3 linked regions of the Caenorhabditis elegans genome follow. The protein of the gene in region 2 purifies or fractionates together with the protein of the main gene of each other region. This does not show direct contact. Each region holds a gene or a part of one and is shown on either strand. Other genes may lie near its edges.

Evidence for each region. Proteins that work in one complex are often made in the same cells at the same time.
Region 1: the proteins of clec-65 (region 2) and F13H8.11 fractionate together in Caenorhabditis elegans (co-fractionation; one large-scale study listed by BioGRID). This does not show direct contact.
Region 3: the proteins of clec-65 (region 2) and trxr-2 fractionate together in Caenorhabditis elegans (co-fractionation; one large-scale study listed by BioGRID). This does not show direct contact.

What each region holds. Positions count from the first base shown.
Region 1 is NC_003280.10:6,257,084-6,262,081, forward strand, and holds F13H8.11 (Lipase_GDSL domain-containing protein), read right to left. Parts: upstream 2,939-4,998; 5' UTR 2,873-2,938; coding exon 2,737-2,872; intron 2,689-2,736; coding exon 2,455-2,688; intron 2,407-2,454; coding exon 2,174-2,406; intron 2,117-2,173; coding exon 1,956-2,116; intron 1,911-1,955; coding exon 1,420-1,910; intron 943-1,419; coding exon 815-942; 3' UTR 530-814; downstream 1-529. Other genes in the region: nmgp-1 (Neuronal Membrane GlycoProtein), read left to right, coding at 4,139-4,328, 4,376-4,440, 4,486-4,641, 4,822-4,988.
Region 2 is NC_003280.10:12,899,764-12,903,928, reverse strand, and holds clec-65 (C-type lectin domain-containing protein), read right to left. Parts: upstream 2,605-4,165; 5' UTR 2,598-2,604; coding exon 2,567-2,597; intron 2,521-2,566; coding exon 2,294-2,520; intron 2,237-2,293; coding exon 2,133-2,236; intron 2,081-2,132; coding exon 1,797-2,080; intron 1,592-1,796; coding exon 1,394-1,591; intron 1,011-1,393; coding exon 901-1,010; intron 848-900; coding exon 776-847; intron 725-775; coding exon 632-724; 3' UTR 593-631; downstream 1-592. Other genes in the region: clec-64 (VWFA domain-containing protein), read right to left, coding at 3,527-3,712, 3,775-3,887, 3,948-4,145.
Region 3 is NC_003281.10:8,911,837-8,916,988, forward strand, and holds trxr-2 (putative glutathione reductase 2), read left to right. Parts: upstream 1-1,932; 5' UTR 1,933-1,944; coding exon 1,945-2,205; intron 2,206-2,253; coding exon 2,254-2,390; intron 2,391-2,436; coding exon 2,437-2,521; intron 2,522-2,870; coding exon 2,871-3,407; intron 3,408-3,457; coding exon 3,458-3,800; intron 3,801-4,368; coding exon 4,369-4,517; 3' UTR 4,518-4,623; downstream 4,624-5,152. Other genes in the region: tpk-1 (thiamine pyrophosphokinase 1), read left to right, coding at 314-480, 535-615, 1,025-1,256, 1,301-1,412, 1,462-1,601; M-phase inducer phosphatase cdc-25.3, read right to left, coding at 4,668-5,147.

The DNA.
Region 1 (4,998 bases), 6.6 Mb from region 2:
AGAAATCTATGCATAGCCTGAGGATTGAATATTTGGAGTTCCAGAAAAACAATCTCATACTATTTGGAAAAATGATCTGTAAAGATTTAAAAAAATAAAATCTAACAATACCGAATTCAGCAAAAAATGTACTGAAACAGTTTCTGATGGAAATTTCAGGGGCTCAGATTTGATTTCTTCGGAAAATTTCACTAAAGTTGATGGAAACATGAGGAAAACTAAGAGAATATCTGACTATATATGATCGGACTCATTATTCTAAATGTGTGTCACCTAATAAGAACATTTTATGATCGAGTATCCTAACTTCTTAAAGCCATTTTGAACTTTAGATGACGTAATAATAAATCTCTGGTTCTCATGTCCATCGGATCTTTTTACCTCAATTTATCTTATCACCTCTGTCCACTATGATTGATTCTGAAAGAAACTCGGTTACGTAATCACAATCGGGTTTCCTTCTCCTCTTCATTCTCTCAATTTCGATTCTGTCTCTTTCTGAATGAATCGCTTTTTGGAGATATATATGTACATACAGACACACTTCCATTTATTTCCTCTTTGCCATTTCATTATGATACTACACTAGGGACTGATATGTAGTCTACACAAAACAATAAATACAGTAGGCAACATTAATGGATGTAGTGAGATAGAATGCATTACGCCATTCGAAATAAAACCCGCATAGGTGTGACATCATTAGGAAGAGTAAGAAGGGTGCTGGTAGTTGTTATAAAAAGTGGAAATCTAGACGTTCTCATCGTTCACGCAACTGTCTCATCAAGTGGCATGAGTACATTTTAGAAACCATTTAGAAAATGTTGTCATTGAGGTCGGCACGCAGCGGAAGAAGTAGATGATGTCGTTCATCGGAAAACTCGGAAGACGTCGTAGAACTGCGGATGGAAGCACGAACAAATAGGAGTATTAGAGCGGTACCTAGGAACAAAATATTTTCGGTTTATATAAAAAGTTGAATAATGCTAAGACATATTTTTAGTCATAAGTGACAGAATATCTACCTGCCTACATCTATGCCTTTTTTCTTGAACTTTAGCTTGAACTCAGGTGTTAGATTTTTTCACCGTGCAGAGTATTTTTGATATATTTTTAAACCGTTTTTCTTATAGTATGTTTACATAATCTTCAAAAGTGAAAAAGTTCAAATTTGGTAGTACACAAGACGCAGGCGTAGGTGCCTTGAGGGCAGGCAATTAGCGTCTAGCGTTTTTGAGAAAATATGTTTATTGGTGCCCCTTTATTTTATATCTCTTATCTCTGAAAAAGCGAAAACGGAAACTTTCTCCCAATGAAAATATTTGAAAAGTGGTTTTATTGATTATTATAGCAGCTGCTTTTAATCTAAGCCGCCTCACAAAAAAATAAGCAACGTATTTTTTCCCAGACCAAACTCACCAAAAAGGAAAAATACAGGAATCATGTATGGAGGCATGCTTAAACCAGGAGAGCTTGCAAAAGCTGAAGGAACTCGGAGAAATCTCATTTCTCTTGATGGCTCACAGTTTTCAGAGTTTTGAATCGTTCTTAGGTACGGACATTCAACAGGAGGACACACGAATCTATCGAATCCAACTGATAATTGATTAGTGATTGTTTTTTGATCAATTGGTTCGAACAATCCTTTCCAAATTTGTTTCGCAGCAATATCATGAGCAATTGGAGAAAGATGGAAGCAATCGAGTGCCAATAGTCCAATATTCGGCTGGTTTTTAAGTAACGGAATTGATTTTAGATCCATGGCTGGAGCAATCACAACAGCAAATGTAGATGAATTTCCATATTTTTGATTGAATTGTTCTACAACTTCATTCAATTGTTCATCGAATTGTTTCTTGATGTTTTGATATTCTTTTTCATTTAATTCAAAAATACACGAGCATGTTTTTCTGTAATTATATGTTTAATTTTTTTTTTAATTTTGAAAAACAAACCTATGTGAAAACTCGCAGAACTTACTCAACTTGTGAGCTTGTGAGTGAATTTTGACATTTATTGGTGGCATTATGTTAACGAATACCTTTGGAACATTTGTTTGAATTATTGTAAGTGCCGAGTGAAGTGACTTTCCAAATGTTTCAGGCCCGAAGGTAGTCTGAAATATTTTTTAATGGAAATGAAAATTAGCTCCGATGTGAAATGGTTATTTTACCTCATTATTGCAAATGTTACACAAGTCATTATGACCGATGAAAATATTAACGAATTTCCATGTATCAGATGTTTCTCTACCCAGCTTTTTCTTCAATGTACTTGCTAATTTGAGCGCTTGTTCGGGAAGCTCCGAGCTGAATGAGCCAGGAATCGCCATGTTAAAGTCGTAAAACTTTTGAACAAAATCAGAGGATCCTCCTTTTATTCGCGGTGCAAATTTACGGAAAATATCTGAAAAGCTTCTGTTGCAAGTAAGTGAAAGTCAAAACGAATTATTACTAATAAAGGTGGCTTGCTCATTCAGCTTTACATCATCTCCTGTTACAAACGAAACACCAGGAAACTGATCAAATAAATCGAGAATTGACGATGATTTCGCCGCTTGTGCAACTGACACAGAATCGCCTAGTGCTGCTATCACTCCAATTTGTGATGGATGAAGCTGATGTACAGATTCGGAAGATTTTCGATGAGGTTGGGGACAATTGAAGTTTGGAAAGCCCATTGGGTACTCTGTAACACGGAACTTGAAGGGTTAGATGGAACGATTAATAAACTAACCCATTGAATCCATAAACGCATTTCTAGTTTCTTTCCACTGATTGAATACTTCCACAGATGTTTCGATAATTTCATTAGGAGGTGAAATAATAGAATTAACTTCCACAAACGCCAAAAAAAGGAAAAACCGTGCCATTTTCAAGAAGAACGCTGCAGAAAAATGAGGTAACATGTATGTTAAAGTTAAATCGTTTTTCAGAATGATAAGATAGTCTGTTTTCCAATTTACACCGTAGGACATAGATAAGAGGGCGAGCAAATTGGTAAAAAAGGGGACAAACAAGTTTGTGTAGTCTGTGTTTATATGTATTTCGTTTTTGCAAATTGTGAAGTAAACTGAGCACAAACACCAACTCATTTATTTAGCGCTCAAATTCTACTGCGAATAATATTTGATATTAGTACATAAGTCTCAATAAGCTTTTCTCAAACTCAAAAGGGCTTGCGAGAGGTGATGAAAACGAGGTCATCTACAGTTAATGCCACCTAAAAATGCTCAAAAAATCAATTGTGAAGACCGCGTTCAGGCTGTGTGATAGATAAACCCATGTCACCATATATGAAAAAGTTAAGAAGTTCTTTGAAAAAAAGAACTCCTGAATATAATTTTAACAAAATTTAACCATTTCTCAGAAAACAGTAACCTGTATATATTCATATTTCCACTTTCAAAAAAATTCTCAATGTATATCCGGTTGGCAGGTGCCGCTGAAAAGTGTTCAATGAAACGGCAGCAGACTCCTTTGTATTCTTCAACTCTTTTTCCCAGATGTTCATGATTGCAGCTCATCGTACATCACAATTGCATGCACATTCATTTTAAAATGTGTGTGTTTCCTACTGATTCAATAAATTGAAAATAACACCACAAGTCACCCAGAGGAAATGTAAAATTGCGTCATACATGAGTTGTTCCAACTTTCAAATGGCACCTTGCGACATTCTCATCGAAGATCATGCAAACATGACTCACCATCATCTTCTCCTCTTTCTGCTTTCCTCCGCTAAAACTGACCATCCGTGGCGAGCTGTCTGCGTCTCAATATTTAAATTTGTTCCCAACCCACTATCTCACCTTTCCGCGTCCGTTTCCAATTTCGATCGCAATACAAACAAACACACTCATACATACCTTTTTGTTGCCCCGGTGCCCGCTTGCACTTGCTTATTACAATTATTCCACGGCTACATTTGTTTCTTATTTTTCATCTGAAATAATATTTTTCAAACTGTCAAAATAGTGTCAAGATCAACGAAAGAGGCGGCGCAAAGACGTTCGCAGAACGCCGCCGTCGTTCATTTGAATGCGGACGCAGAAGAAGATGACTGTTTTCATCGAATACCATATGCATCACTTATTGGATCATTATTATGCATTCTTGGAGTTATTCTCTTTGCAATTATGATGTCCTGGGCATTTAATGCAACTGCAGAGCAAGTCAGAAGATCTCTGAAAATAAATGATTGGCCATGGCTTGACAAGGTTCAAGTTTTCTTTATTGTAATCGCAGTTTTAATGGGACTATTCTCACTTTTCTTCTTATGCATCGGATTTACTGCAACTGGAGGAACAAGAGAAACTATGTATAAAGGTTCAAAATGACAATGATCTAGGAGAACTTATGTACAATATTTTCAGACGATGAAGCTCGCTGTGGTGGAAAATTTGCATGCGTCATCGCAATGTTGATCGATTTCTTTCTAGTAAGAATTGCTCAGTAAACGTATAATTTTAAAACTAACTTTCAGATAATTGCATGGCTATTCATTATTTCAATTGTATCTTGGCTTTGTATATTTTATTATTTCTTCGATCGGCTCTGCATGAATCTTCCAGGATATACAGATGGTGACTGTATAGATCTTCATGTTTTCTGGCCATTAGTTTCGTCCTTTGCCAACTCGGTGAGTATTAAGTTTTAGGATTCTCAAAAGAAAGCAATTTAATAAGTTCCACATTTACATATGTAGGTTGAATTGGAGAAATGTTAAAATTTGGGATTTTTTTGAGTATTCTTCCTAAAGTTTATGAACAACAACTTTATCATTTTGAGAAAATTAAAGTCAACAAATGAATTATTTCAGAATCTTCGAATGTGCGGTGGAGATGTGCAACAATTCTGTGCACTTACCTCCACAGCATTCTCTTGGTATGTCATCGGATGGGTTGGATGTGTTCTCATCATTCTTGGAGTTCTTTTATTTTTTGGAATTCATGCATCAAATTATGCACATATTGGAAATGCTAACAGGTTTTTATTT
Region 2 (4,165 bases):
GGAATTAAAAATTTCCGGCAAAGCGGCAAACCGGCAAATTGCCGCTTTCCCGAATTTGCCGGAAAAACGGCAATTAGCCGAAAATTTTCGGAAAAATTGATTTTTTTTTATTTTAAATTTCAAAAAGACACAGTTTTAAATGCTTTTGTCTTATAAAAAGATCCCTCTAAATATTTCCAGCAAATCTGATATCCGGCGAATCGGCAATTCGGCAATTTGCCGAAAATGAAAATTTCCGGCAAATCGGCAAACCGGCAATTCGGCGACTTACCGGTATTAAAAATTTCCGGCAAATCGGCAAGCAGGCAAATTGCCGGAATTAAAAATTTCCGGCAAATCGGCAAGCAGGCAAATTGCCGGAATTAAAAATTTCCGGCAAATCGGCAAGCAGGCAAGTTGCCAATTTGCCGAACGGCAATTGCCGCCCACCCCTGATTTCGCACGACTACATTTCTTTGAAAAGTTATATCTCGGTTTATTTGGTTTTGATAAGTACATTATCTCAGAAAAATGAATGGTATAGGCTCGATGATATTTATTGTCCTTAATAATTTAATTTTCAATGTGCTAAATATTCAGAAATTTAAAAGCAATGCGATTAATAATAACTTTATATTTTCTCCACAATTTTTCAAACACCATCACAATAATTATCAGTATCACAAGCGACCTGCTCACAGATGAATCGGAAGTTATTCGCACAGCTCACCGGAGTCCACGCGGTCTGAAAATCCAAGTCTTTCTCAAGCCCTTGTTCTAAAAAAGTTAGCCTTACAGTTCCATCTGAATACTTCATATCAGCAACACAAGCGTTGCGAGTTGGTGGAGCTCCAGAGTTGGGGTCGAGCTAGAAATATAGTTTATAGTTTTCAAGCAAAAAAAATACACAGAAGTGAGTACCGGAATCGGTGATCTATCGTTTGGCTGATCCCAATACCAGTTACCATTGAGATTTAATAGACCATTGTAAAATGCGTTGACCGGTTTAGTGGAGTCGGAATTGACCAAATCTTAAATTCATATTTATTAGGGGAACACGAAATTCTGAGAATGTGTATTGCGCAACATATTTGACGCGCAAAATATCTCGTAGCGAAAACTACCGTAATTCTTTAGAAGAACTACTGTAGCGCTTGTGTCGATTTACGGTAATCGGAAATCATTCATTAATCGAAAAAATATTTTTTGAAAAACCCAAAAATAATTTTGAAAAAACGAAATACTACAGAAAATTCAGAATCGCGTAAATCGACACAAGCGCTACAGTATTCATTTAAAGGATTACTGTAGTTTTTGCTACGAGATATTTTGCGCGTCAAATATGTTGTGCAATACGAATTCTCCGAATTTTGTGTTCCCGTATTATTTCAAAAAAAAAGTCACGAAAATTCACTGAAATTGAAATCCCGCTTCTGTTGATCCAACTCATTCACCAAATAACTCTTCGGACTATATTGTCGACATTTGCTTTTTGCGCCATCTCTACTGGAATAATCGGTTGTGTCAGTGTAAAGGCAAGTTCCGTAGCGATTTTGAAGGTTATTCCATGGATAATTGTATTGGACCCAACCTTGTTCGCAGAAGCAGTTTGCTGAATAACGGAGAAAAGTTACGTGGTGTAAGGCTGCCTCGTTGCGGTTTGATCTACGATAAATGCGGGAATTTTTCCTTCCAGAAAAATGTGACGTCAGCACACTCTTAACCATGCGAAATAAGTTGAAAAGTCTGTCATTTCTCGAAGATCAAACCAAAATGGGACACTTTGGCACCACGTGAGCTGGACCTTTCAAACTTACTATCCGTCATTGCTTTCAAAATCTCTTGGGTAACATTTCCGTCGGCAATTGCGAAGCTCATATTGTCGCTGGCAATCTGCTTGAGATACGCCTGAGTATCGGAACTTGACCCAGTATTCACAGTCACCACCGGGATCCCGCGGCTTTTAAGAATTTTCGACACATCACGAGGTTGATTGCTTTTATAAGATCCATGAACCGATGTAAATACAATTACAATTTTCTTGTAATTGTCACGAAATCCCGCGGTCGCATCAATCATTCCGATTGCGGCGTTAAGACCTCTGAAATCAGATGGCCTAGATTTTTAGATTCCAAAACTCTGCCACCACTTACGTATCCATTCTGCTAGCTGGGGAGCTTGATTGTGGAGTGTATTGGAGGCGCTGAATCTGACTGTTCAAGTCGGCCCAAGATTGAAGTTTGTAGAAGTCTGCGACCTGAAACATTTCATTTTTAGTGTCTCACTCGTACATTAACTATAACTTGAAACTCACATCAGTCGCATTCCAGTTATAGGTGATAAATCCGACTCGGGTACTTCTCGGGTCATCATACCCAGTTCCAATTTGCAGTTGCTTGCTGAACAGACTGGAAATCGTCTGATAGACAAGGTTCATACTTCCTATTTTGCAGTTGTCAATGACAAATACCACATCCAGCCAAAGTTTGTTGGCGTTCGTGCCGCATCGTCTGTCACTGACGGATAGAGTTGGCGATGCTGCTGAAAGTATATTGACCCGTAAAAAACAGTCCTTAGAAAATCTTACCCAGACAGAGCAACACAAGCACTTTCCACATGGCGCTGCTGAAAAATGAAGAAGCAGTTTCGATCGTCTTTTAAACTTTTTTGCAATGCAATCAGTCTCATTATTGACATTTGATAATGAGTATTAGTTTGACATCATTGTGTGGTTCGACTTTCTGATAAATTAAAAGGCATGTGTCTTCAAATTAACTGTTATGTATATTCCCTATAGTTATGAAGAAAAATATTTCTGTGTCGGCATTGATTCGGATATTGTTTTACGAAACATTAGTGGGATTTTATACAAAATAGGCACATATTGAGGTCCCGAACACCATTAAAGGTGGAGTACCGAAATTTGAGACTTTGTTTTTTTAGACCCAAAATGACCCAAAACTACCGAATTTCGTAATGAGACGTTTCGAAAATTCCTCGAAAAAAAAAGTTATGGAGGTTCAAAATTATGAAAAAAAGGCTAGTTTTTTAGCTAATTGTAAAATCAAAATTTTTGTCAACTTCTCGGTGTCACAGCATATTTAATTTAAACTGTTTAATAAATATTATGTTCTTTTATTAGGAGTTTATTCGTTGATTTGAGTACATTCAAGGTCTGTGAGACACAAAAATGTAATTTTTGTTTGTGCCCCACTGGCCGAAAAAGGACTTAAATCAACGAATAAACTCCTAGTAAAAGACCACAATATCTATTAAAGAGTGACAATTGAATCAAAAATTAAGTTCCAAACAATGTTATTTTAGCTGAAAATAATCCTTTTTTCTAGAACTTTGAACCGCCATAACTTTTTTAAAAGAAATTTTCAAAACGTTTCAATACGAAATTCGGTTTTTTGGGTAATTTTGGCTCCAAAACAGCAAAGTCTCAGATTTCGATACTCTATACTACCTAAGTACGATTTTCTGAAAATTGGTAAACTTCGATAAGCAAACTAATTCAAAATACATACATATATGTACAATAAATTCAATCACAATATTTATCAGTATCACATGATGCAACTTCACACATATAATTCTCATTTTCTCGGTATCCATTGATGTTTTGCCATCCGACGTCTAGATTCGAGTTATGCTGATGATTAACGACAACGGTGTTGGTGAATGGGGTGTTCGGATATGTTGGATTCCAATGCGAGTAACTTCCATTTTGCTGGAATTACAGTATATTGAGTTGCCAGACAGAGAGGAAAAATAAAGCTAAAGCTGTTATACCAAAATGAGTGGGTGTCCTTCTGGCTGCTGCCATCTCCATGCTCCGTTGACATAGCTCAACCCGGTGTGATAAGCGTAAGGTTCAGTGAATTCAGCATTGTTCAGAGCTATTCCTGGAATTCTAAATATTGTGCAAAGTCTTTGGCACTGGAAAACTTGTATGAATGACTCACTGAACAAAAAATCATGCTTCCGATCATCAAACTCGGTTACAAGGTAACCATATTTAATGCTATTCTGGCAAGCGATCTTTGCACTTGCCCATGATGCAGTTATAGTTTCGGCTCGGATGCAAATTCCAAATTTATAAGACTTCTCGTCGTCATAGCTTGGCCTGTATTGAATCCAAGTTCTTGGACAGAAACAGTTTGCTGAAATCAAACCATTTTAA
Region 3 (5,152 bases), on a different chromosome or scaffold from region 2:
TTTTGCTCCAAAAATACGATTCCCCGGTCTCGGCACGAAAATGTTTTGTAATTGTAAACTAATGTGAGCCTTCAAAGAGTACAGTAGCGGAATGTTCACAATTTTTGGCTATGTATTTTTTTAACAATTGAAGCAATCAAAACATATTTTAACAAAAAATACGGGAAAAATTAAATTCGCACACATTTTTGTCTTTAACGAAAGATTCTTGCGTCAAAAATCGCAAGTTTTTGCCTCAGAGTAATAATAAGCTAAACATTTTAACCCCTCATCACAAGTGGAAGCTTACAAAAAATAAAAATTTTGCAGAGAAATGTCAAAGAAATTGAAGCCATTCGAAATTTTAGAGGATTCGTGTGCATCAGTATGTATTTGGCTTAACGGTGAACCTACGGCAATCAGCAATCGCGCTGAAAATTTATGGAATAAGGCCAAATATCGAGTTGCAACTGATGGAGCTGTTAATGAGATTCTTAAAAGGTGATCTAGGATCCAGAAATTGAAAATTATCGTAAACCGAGTTTTGGATTTCAGAAAGAGTTTCGTCGAATGGCCTCATATTATCTGCGGAGATTTCGATTCAATAAATAAACAGATTGATACAAAAAATGCAAAGTTAGTTTAAATTCTACTGAAATTAAAAATTAATATAGGCATTACTCAACTTCATTGTAATCGTGTTTCATGTTTGATAACATCTTCTATTAATGAGCAATGATAGAATTACTGTAGGGTTACTGTAGTGATCACAAAGAATTATTACTGTAGCGGCTGTTGAATATTAGCTAAAAGAATATATAGGCGTGAACGTTGAAAATAAAATTAAAATATTATTGAGTTGTGTTTTTAATACTGGAAGACTGAAAGCTACAATTCGTTGAGAAGAGTGTATTGACCAGGTCATAATAATGATTTTGCACTTTTTTTGGTATTTCTGGCTTGCCAACTAAATGTTATTCATTCTGTGTTCAGGACTAAAAAAATAAAAATATTTTGTCGAAAATTGTTCTTAATGTTGTTTTAGAGTCGTCCATCTGCCTGATCAAGACTACACAGATCTCTCGAAGAGCGTTCAGTGGTGCTTAGAGCAGAAAACACTAACAAGCTGGGAATTCGAGAATATCGTTGTTCTAGGAGGTCTCAATGGACGATTTGATCACACCATGTCAACGTTATCATCTTTAATAAGATTCGTTGATTCTCAAACTCCTGTGATCGTTTTGGATTCTAGAAATTTGGTTCTCGCTGTTCCTACAGTAATCCTTGGCAGGCCTATGTGAACATTAAGAGTTAAATTCAGGGGGATTCAAATCTTGATGTCAATCTTGAAATGACAACAAAAATGTGTGGAATCATTCCAATTGTTCAAAAGGAGACAATCGTCAGTTCAATTGGACTAAAATATGAAATGGGTATAATCCAATGTTTCAACATCATTTCTATTAAACGTTTCCATTTCAGAAAACCTTGCTCTTGAATTTGGAAAACTTATCAGCACGTCGAATGAAGTTACCACGAGCCAAGTATTTTTGAAATCTTCGTCGTCTCTGATTTTTTCAATTGAACTTGAAAATTGGGTCTACAAACTTGATTCTCTATAGTATCACATTTTATGGTCCCTCTTAATTCACAACTTTTCATTCCTTTGCTATTCAACTGTTCTATTTTCTTTTTATTCCATTTTTCCTAGTTTTCACCGGTACTATATAATTATCTACAATATTATAATACACTTTATTCCCTGTACCATTTTGTGTTGAAAACGAATTAATAAAAATAAAAACGAATTAATAGTATGAGATTAAAATTTTCATTTTAAAAGCAATGTTATTTGTTTAAAAAATATCCAATTCTAATGAATTATCTGCGAATATCCGATAGCGATTTCAAAAATCTAATGAAAATTGAAATTCAACTTTAAATCATTTGTAGATCAATTTTCTGATGCTTCTATCCACTTTCAAACGACATCTACCAATCAGGCGTCTCTTCTCATCAAATAAATTTGATCTGATTGTAATTGGAGCAGGATCTGGAGGACTTTCTTGTTCTAAAAGAGCAGCTGATCTTGGAGCAAACGTGGCATTAATTGATGCAGTTGAGCCAACTCCACATGGACATTCATGGGGAATCGGAGGAACTTGTGCAAATGTCGGATGCATTCCTAAAAAGTTAATGCACCAAGCAGCAATCGTCGGGAAAGAGGCAGGAATAATATTATAAATATTTAGAGCACTAAATTCAAAATTCCAGCTAAAACACGCAGACAAATATGGCTGGAATGGCATAGATCAAGAGAAAATCAAACATGATTGGAATGTGTTGTCAAAGAATGTGAATGATCGAGTAAAAGCAAACAATTGGATTTATAGAGTTCAATTAAATCAGAAGTATTTTTTTTAATTTTGTGGAAATTTTTATTTTTATGAAATTTAGAAAAATCAATTACTTCAATGCCTATGCCGAGTTTGTGGATAAAGACAAGATTGTGATAACTGGTACAGACAAAAATAAAACCAAGGTACGTTTGGAAAAATGAAAAAAGAAGTTTTAAAAAATTTGTTCCGTATACCCAAAAGTTTTGCGGCTTTTCGGAGGAGAATACGGTATCAGGTCTCGACACGACAATATAGTTTTCCGAAAAAACATAATTTATTCTAACAAGTTGTGATAAAATCTATAAAAATAATCTATAAAAATTCCGTAGCAACAAATGTTTGAGATGACAGTACTCGTTAAAGGCACAACTTTTCGCATTTGACAAAAATTTGTCGCGTCGAGACCTGGTACCGCATTTTTGGCGCAAACTTTAGGTAATAATAATATTGCTAGGAAACGGAAAATTAAAAAATTTCATCCTAGATTTTCAGAATTTTCTTTCCGCACCGAATGTAGTCATCTCAACAGGACTCCGTCCCAAATATCCAAATATTCCTGGTGCTGAACTTGGAATCACTTCAGACGATCTTTTTACACTGGCATCAGTTCCCGGAAAAACTTTGATTGTTGGTGGAGGATATGTTGCATTGGAATGTGCTGGATTTCTTTCTGCATTCAATCAAAATGTTGAAGTTCTTGTGAGATCAATTCCTTTGAAGGGTTTTGATAGAGATTGTGTGCATTTTGTCATGGAGCATCTGAAAACAACTGGAGTGAAAGTTAAGGAACACGTGGAAGTAGAACGTGTAGAAGCAGTTGGCAGTAAGAAGAAGGTTACATTCACTGGAAATGGTGGTGTTGAAGAATATGATACAGTTATTTGGGCGGCTGGTAGAGTTCCAAATTTGAAAAGTTTGAATTTGGATAATGCTGGAGTGAGGACTGATAAGAGATCTGGGAAGATTCTAGCAGATGAATTTGATAGAGCTTCCTGTAATGGTGTATATGCCGTTGGAGATATTGTTCAGGTACGATAAAAAAAGTAACATTTTTTTAAAATAAAAATGATAGTATTCAGGATCGCCAAGAGCTCACGCCACTTGCTATTCAATCCGGAAAACTTCTAGCTGATCGTCTTTTTTCAAATTCCAAACAAATAGTTCGATTCGATGGAGTTGCCACTACAGTATTCACGCCTCTTGAACTCTCAACCGTCGGGTTAACTGAGGAAGAAGCCATTCAGAAACATGGAGAAGATTCGATCGAAGTGTTTCATTCTCATTTTACTCCGTTTGAGTATGTTGTGCCACAGAATAAGGATAGCGGTTTTTGTTATGTGAAAGCCGTGTGTACAAGAGATGAATCGCAGAAAATTCTTGGTCTTCATTTTGTTGGACCAAATGCCGCAGAAGTAATTCAAGGTAATTGATTCAAAAAGAGAAATAGTCCGCCCCGCCCGTCACGAAAATGTTTTCTGAACACCTTCAATTTTGGAACAATGTTCGAAAAACCATAATCTGTTCGCAAAAACTTACGTGCTAAATCTGTTATTTTGAATTTTTTATCTTTTTCTTTATTGAATGAATAATATTACACATACGCAAAATTCTGCTATTTTTGCGCCAAAAATACGGCTTGATACGACAATTTTTAATGCAAAGAAAGTGTGCACCTTTAAATAATACTGAAAATTTAAACTTTCGCTGCTGTAGAATTTTTATCGATTTTTTAAAGATTTAATCACAACTTGAGACAATTAATAAATTTTTATCAAAAAGCTTTAAAAATCTACAAAATTTCTGCAGAATCGAGAGTCTGAAACTACAGTATTCTTTACAGGCGCGAAAAAATTTTATCGTGTCAAGTTCAGGTACCGTACTTTTGGCAATCAACTCACAATATTCTGCGGGTAGGTAATACTAACAACCTCGATAATCGATCAAGATACGAAAACTTTAAAAGCTAACCGATTGCACTAAATTATTTCAGGCTACGCAGTAGCATTCCGTGTTGGAATTTCAATGTCTGATCTTCAAAACACAATTGCCATTCATCCATGTTCTTCTGAAGAGTTCGTGAAGCTTCACATTACAAAACGATCTGGACAAGACCCAAGAACTCAGGGATGCTGTGGATAATTCAAAAAGTTTATTGACAAATCATTCAGTTTATTTATCAAAGTTAATTTACATCCTATTATCCTGGATACTAGTAATTATAATTAAACATAATAAATAGTACAAAATATTTGATTATCCTTTTTAAAAGATACCGGGAACTACATATTCTTAATGCGCATCGTGCTCATGGATGGGATCACATGTCTGACGAAGTGTCGAAATACGAGTTCCAGAAGTTGTTAGAATAGATATCACAGATGTTGTTGAACTCCATTTCTTCATTGGCTTCGAAACATTCTTCTTATGGAACTGGTGCTTCCGAAGCTCAGCCTTATAACGATCATCAAACATGATTACATAATTATCTGGCTCACAGAGTTGTACTCTTTGTTCCTTCTCTAATCCCCGCGTGAAAGCGTAAAAGTTTTTATAACCTCCTTCCAACAAATAAATCTCCTCATAATCACATCTCGGATAGATATTTGAATTCAGTTTTCTGTCCACTTCCCGAAGGTTGTTCGCCATGGTTGGTCCACGTTTTTGACTGTATTCACAGTAGAAAATGGGTATCCGGTTGATTTTCTTGGAACCATCTTTGTTGAAGAAGAAGTCTGCAGCAGTTTCTGGATTGAACAGGCTTTGAGCTCCCTGAA